Linked DNA regions of Coturnix japonica. The protein of the gene in region 1 interacts with the protein of each later gene in a pairwise test. Links are inferred from orthologs where the notes say so. Each region holds a gene or a part of one and is shown in the gene's direction. Other genes may lie near its edges. The genes, in order: QRICH1, HSPB8 and POGZ.

Region 1 (3,602 bases):
GAACCTCTCCATGTAAACAAAAGCTCAGTGTGTTTGGACTGCTGTCACGTAACAGCAGAGAGTGGTTAGAGATCACTGTAGCGCTTGCTGGTATTGGTGGGAGCTGGGCTTGGACTTGGCAGTGCGGTTACGCCACTGACAGCCTTGGACTTGCTCCCGTCTTCACACGGTTGTTGCAGTCTCCTGTTCAATCAAAAACCTCTGTCCTGGTTCCGCTTGGTTAAATCACTGTGAACTGTTGCTAAGGGTTCTGCTTTTCATACTTCTATTAAGTACTGCAGTCAATATGTGCATACAGTGATGTTGTCCCTTTTTCTACCTCTCCGCTGGTAATAACACATCTCCTCTCCTAGTCTGAATGCTGTGCTGTTTCATGTCTTTTCACAGCCATCTCAGCAGCTGGTGGTGTTAGAGCTCAAATCCATTTACCCTGTATCGGGACTAATGAGTACCTTAGAAACAAGCAGTATGCTCACTGCAGACAGAAACAATTTGTGGGTTTAAACAAGTTAAGTCAATAAGAGAAGAACGCTGCCAGTGTGTACCCTGGAGCTTTCTAATGTTCTCAGGTGTAGTCATCTTTTTTTTTCCTCCTTGCACTCACTCTCCCAAATCATCTGACTGCCGCTGTCCCTCTGCTGTCTTTAAATGTTTCTCGTTAATCTTTTCCTATATTAAAAAGGTAACAGGAACCGATGCTGCTGTTGGCTGCTTAATTTCCAGTGCTCTGCTTCTCCGTGTGCGTAGTTCTGTTTGAGGAATCTCTTGATTCCAGTGCTCTCCTTTCACTTGCTGTGTTCAGATCGATAGGTCTCTACTAGTTTTAATAGCAGAGGGCTGAATGCTGCGTCTGCTGCTCTTCTGTTCCGCTTCCTATTAGCTGTTTAGAGTAGAGCTGCATGGCCTGGCAGAACACCCTGCCTGGTTCTCCCACCTCCATGGCTGTGAAGCAGGGCCATGTGTATTGATTTCTGAACTTCTCTCGCTAGCGTTGCATGCTGCAAACGAATGAGATCTGTGATTTGATTTATTCTGTGATGAGACTCGCCTGGTCTGGGTGAGATATAATTCTGGAAGGTGTTACATGGCAGTGAGCTCTTTGAAATAGGTGTCATGATTGTACCTGGTGGCATTCTGACTTCCCTGAACTGCTGAGGGTTAATTTGTAGCGCTGCAAGGTGCCTTACAAAGCTAAAGCATCTGTCTCAGGGCATCTGGCCCTACATGTTTGCTGGATTTCATATGGTGCTCAGTATCAGAAGTTAGTCACTGGAGCTGGGAATATCCTTGCACCAGAGGAGCGCCGTAGTTAAGAGTTTTCACTTTCTCTTTCCTTAAGGAACCCTCAGGACCTTGCAATATGAATAATTCTCTGGAGAACACCATTTCCTTTGAAGAATACATCCGTGTGAAGGCACGAACGATCCCCCAGCACAGGATGAAGGAGTTCCTGGACTCCCTGGCTTCCAAGGGGCCGGAAGCTCTGCAGGAGTTTCAGCAGACAGCCACCACCACGATGGTGTACCAGCAGGGAGGCAACTGCATTTACACGGACAGCACAGAGGTGGCCGGGTCTTTGCTTGAACTTGCTTGCCCTGTGACAACCAGTGTCCAGCAGCAAACTCAGCAAGAGCAGCAGATACAGGTTCAGCAACCCCAGCAAGTCCAGGTAAGCATCTTAAATCATCTTTGGAGGTATATATGACTTGTTAACCTGCAGAATAGTGCTCAGAGCCAGCTACTGGCTAACCTGAAACCAGAGGCAGGCGCTTAAGAAGCAGGACCATTCAGCTTCATACAGAACAGTGTTTCCCTCTTGTTTAAGGAATTTGGTAGTAAATTTGTCTTGCTGAGCCTCCATTGAGCCCCGCTGTAGGAGGAGTAACATACATAGCAATGTAGTGGTGTAACCTATTTGAGAAATGGTTGACAGTTTTGGCATGTACACAGCTCCCCGAAGCCTTGCACTCTGTGAAGCAGCTATAAATACCCTTCCTCCTCTGCTGGTCTTGCTTTTTCTTGTTGTTTAGAGTGGCTGTGGGATCTCACTCTTTTTGCTTTTATTTTTTTGCTTATTTTTTTATGAAATCAGTACTCTTCCAATAATTTTACTTGAATGTTGTGGAAGCTGTAGTTCTCGAGCTGGCTTTTAAAGGTGGAGAGAAATGCACAGAAGTTGACGTAAGTTGTGAACCATAGGAAGATGCTTTTCGTGAAAGGTGTTCTAAAAGGAGCGTATATGTCATGGAAGTTGGCTTTTTTGCACAGTTGTAGGATTCTTCTGCAGCTCTTTTATCGGGTATTAAAATAATTTGTATTAATTATTAAATGAGAAAAATCAGACATCAAGAAAAATATGTAACTTTGAGGACCAGCTGCCTGGGTCCTCAAACACTCCTTAAAGAGCTCATAGGTGGTGGGGCGTTACCAAGGTTCTCTTAAGGTGCATCTCCAAATGGCTGAACTCTGGCTGTGGCTGTGATTTTGATACGCTTCAGATGGGAAGCTTTCTGACTTGTGCAGCCTGCATCTAAGGTTGTGAGCTTTCTTCTTTTGCAACAGATGAGGGTACCATTGCTGCGGTACAGACCTGTGCTAACATCTCACTTGTGCGCTCTTATCCTACCGTAAAGACAAACTTTCCTCTTTCATTGGGTAACTTGTCTCCAATTACTCTTTCTGTTGAGTAACTGAATGCTCAGCTAGGACTTCTGTAACCCATTGCCCTACAGTAACTTGTGACACAAGGCTTTTGAAGAATAAAAGCCTCTAGTCTCACAGATAGATGCCTTAGATCTCTGTGTGAGTCTATTAGAAGTGGTCAGGGGTGGCACTGGTTCTGTCTACTGTCACGTTTTGGGGGAGAAGTTTCATTTTTCAGTTCAGCAGAAGAATTCGTAGAAGGACTAGGGCTTTTTCAGTGCCTCAGCCTTGAAGATGTTAAAGGCCTCATACCAATCATAAAGTTGACAAGGAATATGTATGAATGCATGTGTTTCCTACTGCTGCCTCCTTCTGGAACTCTTCAGAGTTCAGGCTTGACCCTTGCAAGCCTCCTAGTAACAGAGATAGGGAGGGAGGTCAAATATCACGCGCTCCTGACCTTCTTGAAAATAACTATAGAGTTGCTGCCAGTTATGTTCCTGTTTTGTAAACCAAATGGCCTGCACCTTATGGAGAATGGAAAAAAAATCTTAACAAAAGTCAAGCTCTCAAAAAGCTTTTGTAAAATACATTGTGTACTTTTCTCCTTTGCCTTTGATGCAACTCTGCTTTAGTATACCTGCTTTCACATCTGTCAGTACAGACAGTAGTGTTTGTTTTGCCTTCTGTGCTTTGTGTTGGGGCTCTGGGGGTGACAGTGTTCCACCACAGCAGTGTGTTCTGATTCCTCTGTCTCACTTTGCTGTTTTATGATAATCTTTGGTCATCTTCTGAGATCTTAATCAAACTTAAATAATCCCAGTTCTTGACTTGATAATCCTTTTTAATTCTTGCTAATCCAATTGCAAATCAGTGAAGACCCTCTGAATGACTGCGCTTCTATCTGGCAGCGTGGCGGTGTTGCTGAAGGTGACTAATAATATCACAGGTCAGATGAC
Region 2 (4,109 bases), on another chromosome or scaffold:
ATTTGGAGTGACAACAGGAGCTAAATTGGGATTCCTGGAGAGGGACGTGTGACTAATGGGGATAAGCAAGGCGACAAGACGGATTCCTGGCCTGGGAGGGAGGATGGCCTGGAGCTACTCGGGAAATGTGGGACTGGAGATCTCGGGGTGAAATGTGGTAGGGATGGAGGCGGCCATGGGGCTGTCCCAAACTGTGTGTTGGTGTCACTCTGGGTGATGGGAGCACTCAGCCAGGCAGGGCAAGAGATAGAGGACACTTCAGCCTCTGCTGACTGCTGCTTCTCTGCTCCTCCCCACACCTCCAGTCATAGCCCAGTCCCTGGGGAGACCCCATGATGCCTGGCTGTGTCTCCCCATGCCCACCAGTGAAGATGAGGGATAAGGGCAGGAAGCAGCCGCTCCCCATGCAGGCAAAGGCCCTGCCCAGCGATGCCATGTCTCTGCTCCATGATTAATGCCCTCTGAGCCACCAGCGGCTGTATTGCAGCGTGGCCTGCAGCGCATTACGGCCTTCCTGCTGCAATTTATTCCAGCAAGTCCATTAGAGAGATTGCAGATGCTGAGGAAAGCGAGGTAGAAACAGGAGGGAGCGAGGAAGCAGTGCAGCATCTGGCACATCACTGGTGACACTCATCGGCGTGCTGGGACCCCCTCTGCAGGAACCCCACTGCCACCAGGAGCCCCAGTGCCACCAGCTCCAGGTACCCCGCCGCACCCCATCCCCTACAGCCCTGTAATTAGCCCCGCGCGGCTGTGATTACGCCTCGCCCTGCTGCGGCACGGCCAGGCACGCGATGAGAAGGAGGAGGAGGAGGAGGAGGTGGGTGAGGACGGGGCCACGTAGGGTCCCACTCCCACCCCAATGATTCTGGGGCATTGCTCCAGGCCCAGCCCTGGGCATCAGCTCACAATCCCAGCCACTTTTTGCTGGTGACGCACCTCCGGGTGCAGTGGGTGTGCAGTGTGGGGCCCGGCCCCACCTGGGGGTATTTTTGATGGGTGACACAGGAGTGTGTGCAGCCCACCCTGAGCTCCCCAGTTATTTTTAGGCAGGTGCCAAAAACACCGCGCCTGCTGGGATCCTCAGGCCGGCGCAGGAGGTCAGCTGCACAGCCCGGATTCTCCACGGCTGTTTCATCCTCTCCAAAATACTCGGCTGACAGGGCAGGAATTGCAAAACACAGCCTCCCCCTCCCGCAAGCGTATAAATAGCGCTCGCCCGGCGGTGGAAGGTTGCAGAAGTTTCTCGGCTCGGAGCTCAGGCATTTATTGCAGCTCTCACCCGGGAGCGGTGGGGAAGCAGCACAGTGCTTGTGGGAGCAAGAGGGGAGAGAGAAGCTCTTAATCTCGGGATATTCGGTTTGATTTTTTCCCCCCCCCTCTCCGGACAAGAAGTTTTATTTTCCTCCACCCGATCCCTGGGACCGAAGCCAATCAGGAAGCGTTTTCTTGCAGCTCACACCGTCCTCCCCACACTTGCTTTCCAAGCTCCGGATGCCTCAGCCCTGCTGAACCTCTTCCACCCATCGCGCTCTGCCCGGTGCCGGGCTCCCACCCAAACCCCCGCGTGTGGATGTGCCTGCCCTGGGCTGGGCTCCCCGGGGTATTCCGCAGCCTTTGAGGCTCCACAAGGAGCATAGAGCCATGGCCGACAGCCAGCTGCCCTTCTCCTGCCATTACCCTGGCCGGCGGAGCCTCCGCGACCCATTCCGAGAGCCCGGTTTGACCTCACGCCTCCTGGATGATGATTTTGGCCTCTCACCCTTCCCTGGGGACCTGACAGCAGACTGGCCTGACTGGGCTCGGCCCCGGCTCACCCCCACCTGGCCGGGCCCGCTGCGTGCCCGCGCTTCCGCCATGGCCCCCGGCTACAGCACCCGCTTTGGGGGGTACCCGGAGAGCCGCAGCCCTGTGCCCACCTCCCGCGAGCCCTGGAAGGTGTGCGTCAACGTGCACAGCTTCAAGCCTGAGGAGCTGACGGTCAAAACCAAGGATGGATATGTCGAGGTGTCAGGTGAGGGCTGGGGCTTGGGGAGTGGGATGGGGCTTGGGGACCATGGTGGCGTGCTCAGCACCAACACGGGAAGGCCGAGCCTCCTTTGGGGTGAATCTCTGGGATTTGTGTTCCAGCTGGCACCCAGCTGCGAGCTGCCGAGAGGGGCCCCAGCCTGGCTGGGTTAATTATAGCCAGCGAGGACGGAGCTGAGGGAGATTCCCTTTAAAGGGGCCGAGAGCGAGGCAGCCTGAAGCACCTCCCAGAGCTCCAGCGCTGCGCCCTGGCCAGGGCCCTGCACCTCCTGGGGCTGCCAGCACCGTGCCAGGACGCAGCACTTCTTCCAGGGGCTGATCTGGGGGGATGCTGTGGGTTGGGGGGAGCCAGGAGGCCTCAGAGCTTGAGCCCCATCTTCGTAGGGCTTGCACACAGCCCAGCAGAGCGGCTGAGGATGGGGATGGGATCCAAAGATTTGATCATGTCTGATGGCTCCTTCTTAAGCCCTGGCTCCTGGCAGCAAGCAGGGCTCAGGCTCCATGGGAAGCAAAGGTGTCTGGCGGGGAGAGCAGCTCTTCCTCCTCCTCCTGCTCCAACCAGTGCAGCCTCACAGGCCAGACGCTTAGTGCTGTTCTTCGTTGGTTGTGGTGTAACCCTCCTCACATGGGAGACACCCACGGAGGGAAGGGAAAACAACTCCTTTGGAAGGGTTCCTGGGGTTTGTTTTGCTTGTTGGCTTAAGCCCTGAGCCTAGTGTGGTGGTGACACGCCTTTGTCCTCCCCGCAGGCAAACACGAGGAGCAGCAGGTGGAAGGAGGCATCGTCTCCAAGAACTTCACCAAGAAAATCCAGTAGGTATCACCCTGCCCCGGGGCGTCCTCCCACAAATACAGCCCCATCCCCATGACATGCGATGGCCGCAGCCCCGCTGTTCCCATCCCCAAACCAGCCCTGTGGGCTCCTCCAGCCCAGATATGAAAGCAGAAAGGGATGCAAAGCACCGTGCTCCTCTTTTGGGGCTGATCTCATCACCAGCCCCAAAACACACCCATCCCTGGTGTGCGGCCACACGTGCACCCACATCCACATCTGAGTGATGTCAGTCTGATTGCTATCGCGCTGACTCACCCCAGCAACAACAACAGCAGGGAGGGAAGGCGAGCCCAGCACCGAGGGCAAACCACAGCAGTGCAGCAGTGGCTCTGCAGCTTCGCTTTACCAAAACCTCCCAGCAAAGCCGCGTGTGCTGCGGGTGGGAGCCAGCAGCCAGGCTCCTTTTATGGGCAAGGCATGGGCACGACGCAGCAGCCGGGCGAGCGCGGGCAGCAGTGACGTCCCATCAAACACATCTGCCACGGAGATTAAACAGAGCGCCAGGCAGCCCAGGGGCCACTTTAAATATCCCTATGCATTCCCAGGCACTGCAGCAGTAACACAACTGGGGGTTGTGAGCCCAGACAGGGTTCCTGCTGGGCAATCTCAGTGGGAAGGCTGTGAGCCCCACATGGCTGCGCCATCTCCTAACCCCACACATCTCTCTCCCCCTCCAGGCTGCCCTACGAGGTGGACCCCATCACTGTCTTTGCCTCCTTGTCGCCGGAGGGGCTGTTGATCATCGAGGCGCCCCAGATCCCCCCCTACCAGCAGTACGGCGAGGGCAGCTGTGGCAGCGAGATCCCATTAGAGAACCCAGAGGCCACCTGTGCCTGAGGGCCCCTGTGCCCCTGCTCCACTCCCCCGACCCTATTCCCCCCCAACCCCGCTCCTCGGGCCCCAGCGGGGTGGCCCCGGGGCACGGCCCCTCCCGCTCCCTGGGAGCAGCTGCCCCACAGTGGTCTGACACTCTGGTAGAGGCTTTGCATCCATCAGACCCAGCAGAATGGGTGTCTTCGTTACGGTTCTTTTAATGCTGTAAGGTGAGCAGATGGGATATTTGTAACAATAGCGAAAAAGTGCCCTTTTCTCTTCTTAAGTTGAAGTGGAACCCCGTGGTCCCGTGTCTTCTTCTTCTCTGTTTTTGGTTTTGTTTTGAACTCCATCTCCACGCTGGCCCCTTGGCAGCCTGCAGACACAGCCGGCAGTGGGGCCAATGGCACAGCCCTGCCCCAGGCAGACAAAC
Region 3 (4,368 bases), on another chromosome or scaffold:
CACGACTCACCAACATCATGCTTTGAGAATGAAGGAAACGACATTTCAAAGGATGCAGGAGATGCAAATGTTCTTGGATTTGAAGTGCACACTTGTGTGTGTCTTAAAAACGACGTTGGTTGGTTGGAATTGGGTGATCTTCATGGTCCCCTCCAATTTATTCTACGATTCTATGCAAAATATGCTGGCAGTCGATAAAAACAAGCATTATCAGTTTTCACTGTATTATCTTCAGTATTCAGCCTGTACCATATGCAGCCAAAAGCTGTGTGGCCCATCACGACAGAATTATTCACAGTAAGAAGTTTATTATTAAAGACATGAATCATTTGAAATTATCCGTGGGGGAAATGTAAGGAGAATCCCAGGGAGATCTGTTGGCACGACAGTGCAGGGCACTCGGGTGGCACTGATCCAGACACATAGTGAGGAAATGCACAACTGTAAAGTGTTTCTGTGGTTGCTTTGGTTATGTTTGGGATGCTTACAGACATGATGTTGGGTTCAGGCTGCAGGGCACACTGCTCAACCCAGGTGGTGGAATCACTGACCTGGAGGTGCTCAAGAGGAGGGTGGATGTGGGACTGAGGGATGTAGGCAGTGGGCATGGTGGGGTGGGGGTGGGTTGGACTTGGTGATCTTAGAGGTCTTTCCAACCCCAGCGATCCTATGGGGACAGATCCTGAAGGCATTCTCTTACTGCATCTACCTCAGCAGTTGTGTTTAGGAACCTGTGGAGATGCTGATGGCCATTCACTCCAAAGCATTCACCTTGAAGCTGTCCCTCAGAAGTGACACTGGTGTCCACTTTTGACATTAATTATGAGTTTCACATTAGGGAGATGAACCGATTTGCCTCTTTGTTCACCAATAAGGTCTCCCACATCTCCTCCATCACCACACTTACCTCCTGGTCACCTGGAGACACCAGAACCGCATCATTGGCTGCAATGTGGATCTCAAGCCCTGCGCAATGTTCCTTCTAATGGACGAGGGGTTTCAGCAGCTCTTCTCAATGTCTCCTTAAAACCTAAAGGTTAAAAGTGGAGGCCTGGCTCAGAACAGCACTGCCAAGCACCAAAATGGAGCTGTCTGCTGGTGGTGAGAACCCCATACAACTCAGTAACCGCAATGGTGGCATTGGGTGCTCAACACACACCAACCCAAAGCCAGGAACTGTATTATATAGTTATAAATATATATAATAAGGTTAGAAAAGGCTCCTATGATCACCATATCCAGCCCCTACCCAACCAGGGCCCTCAAAACTCTATCTCCACTACTTCTCCACACGGAGATGTGGAACCTGCGGACAGCGGGGATGGGATGATGGGCTGGGGATGGAGATGGGGTTGGAGATGAGGAGGAGGCCATAAGGACCCCATAGATAAGCGCAGCCCACACACCCCCCCCCCCTTATCTCGCCCCACTCCACCGCCCCTGAGGAGGCGTTGGCGGAAGCCCCGCCCTCCGCGTGACGTCATCGAGACGCCCACCAATCCTTGCAGAGCATCTCGGCCCCGGCAGGAAGTGACGTCACCGTCTCCCTCCGCCGCCCGGTCCCCTTTTTGTGTGTGTGTGTGGAGTGCGGCGGCGCCGCGTGTATCCCCCCGCCGCGGCTCCTCCTCCTCCTCCCGCCCCCCCCGGCCCTCCGCCCGCCGCCCGATGCCACCTGCGCTGCGCTCCCGGGGCTGAGGGACCGCGCGGAGCGGGGAAGGTGAGAGCCGGGCGGAGGGTGGGAGGAGGAGGAGGAGGAGGCCGCGGTCCGTTATGTGCCGTGGGCGGAGGGATCGGGGGGGGGGAGTTGGAGGTTTGAACCGCTCTCACACCTGGGATGTGGGAGGATTGGGAGGGATTGAGGGCGCGTACAGCACAAAGCGCGAGGATAATGGGGGGGCGGGGGAGGAGCTCCGGGCGAGGGATCCTCTCACACCCCCCGCGATCGCGGGATGCGGATCCTACACTCCCCGGCCCGTCCCCCCCCACCCCAGAGCTCCGTCCCCCCCCCCAACATTGGTGGGCGGCCATGTTGGGCACCGGGCTTATTTCTGCTGCCTTTCTCCCAGGCACGACGCGCTCAGCCCGGAGCGGGGCCGCGTTCTGTGCCGACAGGCCCTTCCTTAGGCCCCGTGCCCCCCTGCGGCCTGCAGCCTCTCCCCGGCCCCTCAGCGCTGTGGGGCGCTCCGTGGTGATGGAGGGGGGTCGTGGCCCGTCAGTCTTCGCACCGACCCCGTGGAAGGGCGCTGAGCGCAGGGCGGTGCTGAGCGCTGCTTTGTGTCCGTGGCTGTTGGTGACACGGAGCCGTGGGCCGGTGGGTGAGCAGCCCCCGCGCTGTGCCCGTGGTGGTGGAGCTCGGGGCTTTGGGTGCAGCACTGCGGGGCTGCGGGCGGGGGATCAGAACGGCCCTTCCAGCCCAACCCAACTATCAAGTGGTAGTTTCCAGCCCACCCTGTTCGTTCAGGGGTCTGGAAGTTCCCATCCAACCCAACCCATTTGCAGTCCAATCCATTTGCTATGGGAATCCTTTCTGCCTTGAGCTGTTTGCTAAGGGATCCTTTCCAGTCTGTTCACAAAGTGATTGCTTCCAACACAACCCAACTCGTTCACCAAACAATCCTTCCCAGCCCTGTGCTGTCTGCTAATTGATCCCTTCCAACTCAATCTAACCAGTAGGTGATCCAACCCAACCCATTCGTTATGAGATCCCTTCCAACCTGAGCTATTGGCTTAGGGCTCCCCTTCAACCCAACCCATTCCATGTCTGTATGGTCCCACACTTCTCCTGACTGCACCTGCTGAATCCAGGTGTTGAGCTGTCTGCTTGCTGTTGAGCTGCTTGCACTGTTTTTACCCCCACTTGCACTGTTTTTACCCCCACCACGCTGTGGTGCTGCCCTTCAGTCCCATAGAAGCCCAGTGGCTGCAATGGGACACCCCAGCTCTGTGTCCCCTGCTCCACTCCATGCTGTGCACAGGGTTGCACTGCCCTGCAGGAAACTCATGCCACAGGACAACATGCATGGTGTTAGTTTTATTAGCTTGGCTGTGCTGGGGGTGGAGGATGGGGGGATCTGTTGCTTCTTTTAGGAAACGGTTTGTGAAGAAATAGAAGTTCAGCATCTTCCCTGTGCTGGGTCTTGCTGTGCGCTGATGGTTTGAGGTTGCTGCAGATGGGAAGTTGGATCCTGGAGTGCCATACCTGGCTATAATTGTATCTGCAGTTGTGTTGTGCCTAAGAAGAGAAGTGAAGCCGTCCCACAGCTCTGAGCTCTGTCTGGGCCGGGGGGTTCTGCACGTGTTGCTCACAGATGGCAGCGTGTTGTGGATATATATGGCTGTGTTGTTTGTGTGCACGATCCCACAGCTGCTTGGAGTCTGTCAAAAGACCAACGACTGTCTTTGCTCTGACAGACCTGCCCCACGCTCCGTGCCATTGGCAGGAATGGAGCTGCAGGCAGCTTGTGGGCTCCAGAAGCAGCTTCAGGGTAGTCTCATGTTGATGAAATACACCCCAAGTATTCAGCAGAGCTGCAGAGACAGAGCAGAAAGCGGTTTGTTTTCATCACTCAGCACTTCCAACTTGAAGGTAGATAATAATCATTAAAATTGAGTGTAATAATAGATTTTAATTAGTAGGCATGGCACACATCAAAGCCTTTAATAAAATACAGAGGGCTTTAAATGATGGCATTCAGAGCAAATTTAATACGGCTGTGGAAGAACCTGGGTACCCAGCAGAGCGCATCAGTCAGTGCAGAGTGAATTCACCTCCGTGTGAGGGATGTGGCTGCTGAGCCTCCACCTGCTCCCTTCTTTCAGAGGTGTTGCTCATGATGAATGGCCAAATAAACACTAATGAAAACATCATCCAACATTTTCATCACTGAGATTATATCAGCTCGAAGCCGTGCCAGTTATTCATTAAGAGCCACTGAAGAACATTATCTTTTCTTTAGGGAAGGGATTGTGGCGTGTCTTGACAGCAGGAACCTTTATCACAGGATTCATTTGCATTTAATGTAACCTCTTAAAAAGTTAAGGTACGTTCCTTGCCATGAATACACATTATTAAGAGTGAGTGAGAAAAGTAACCAGACAGGAGTTGTGTTGAGCCTGCGTGTCTACCAAGGTTGGACAAAATGGGAGAGCAGCGGGCACTCACAAGTTGGTTTATGTATTAATTTCTATCTTGGAGCGTGTTGAGTCATCTCCAGCTCGTCTGTAGGTCTCTTAGGAACGGATCCTTGATTTTAGATCTTAGATTTTCTTCTCCGGACTCTCAGCATGGAGGTTGTTTTACAGCAAGTGGTGAGGAAAAATGAAGGGTCAATTAATTCTTAATATGTATTTTTCGCACTGATATTTGTC

Evidence for each region.
Region 2: the proteins of QRICH1 (region 1) and HSPB8 interact in binary tests that used the Homo sapiens proteins (3 or more experiments, as listed by UniProt). The two-hybrid records come from large-scale screens. The link is inferred for Coturnix japonica from reciprocal best matches to the Homo sapiens genes QRICH1 and HSPB8.
Region 3: the proteins of QRICH1 (region 1) and POGZ interact in binary tests that used the Homo sapiens proteins (3 or more experiments, as listed by UniProt). The two-hybrid records come from large-scale screens. The link is inferred for Coturnix japonica from reciprocal best matches to the Homo sapiens genes QRICH1 and POGZ.

The regions. Positions count from the first base shown.
Region 1 is NC_029527.1:9,125,943-9,129,544, forward strand, and holds part of QRICH1 (glutamine-rich protein 1), read left to right. Parts: intron 1-1,339; coding exon 1,340-1,669; intron 1,670-3,602. UniProt on the Homo sapiens protein: Transcriptional regulator that acts as a mediator of the integrated stress response (ISR) through transcriptional control of protein homeostasis under conditions of ER stress.
Region 2 is NC_029530.1:8,625,969-8,630,077, reverse strand, and holds the start of HSPB8 (heat shock protein beta-8), read left to right. Parts: upstream 1-1,216; 5' UTR 1,217-1,644; coding exon 1,645-2,014; intron 2,015-2,777; coding exon 2,778-2,841; intron 2,842-3,540; coding exon 3,541-3,700; 3' UTR 3,701-4,109. UniProt on the Homo sapiens protein: Involved in the chaperone-assisted selective autophagy (CASA), a crucial process for protein quality control, particularly in mechanical strained cells and tissues such as muscle. Displays temperature-dependent chaperone activity.
Region 3 is NC_029540.1:2,345,949-2,350,316, forward strand, and holds the start of POGZ (pogo transposable element with ZNF domain), read left to right. Parts: upstream 1-1,541; 5' UTR 1,542-1,717; intron 1,718-4,368. UniProt on the Homo sapiens protein: Plays a role in mitotic cell cycle progression and is involved in kinetochore assembly and mitotic sister chromatid cohesion.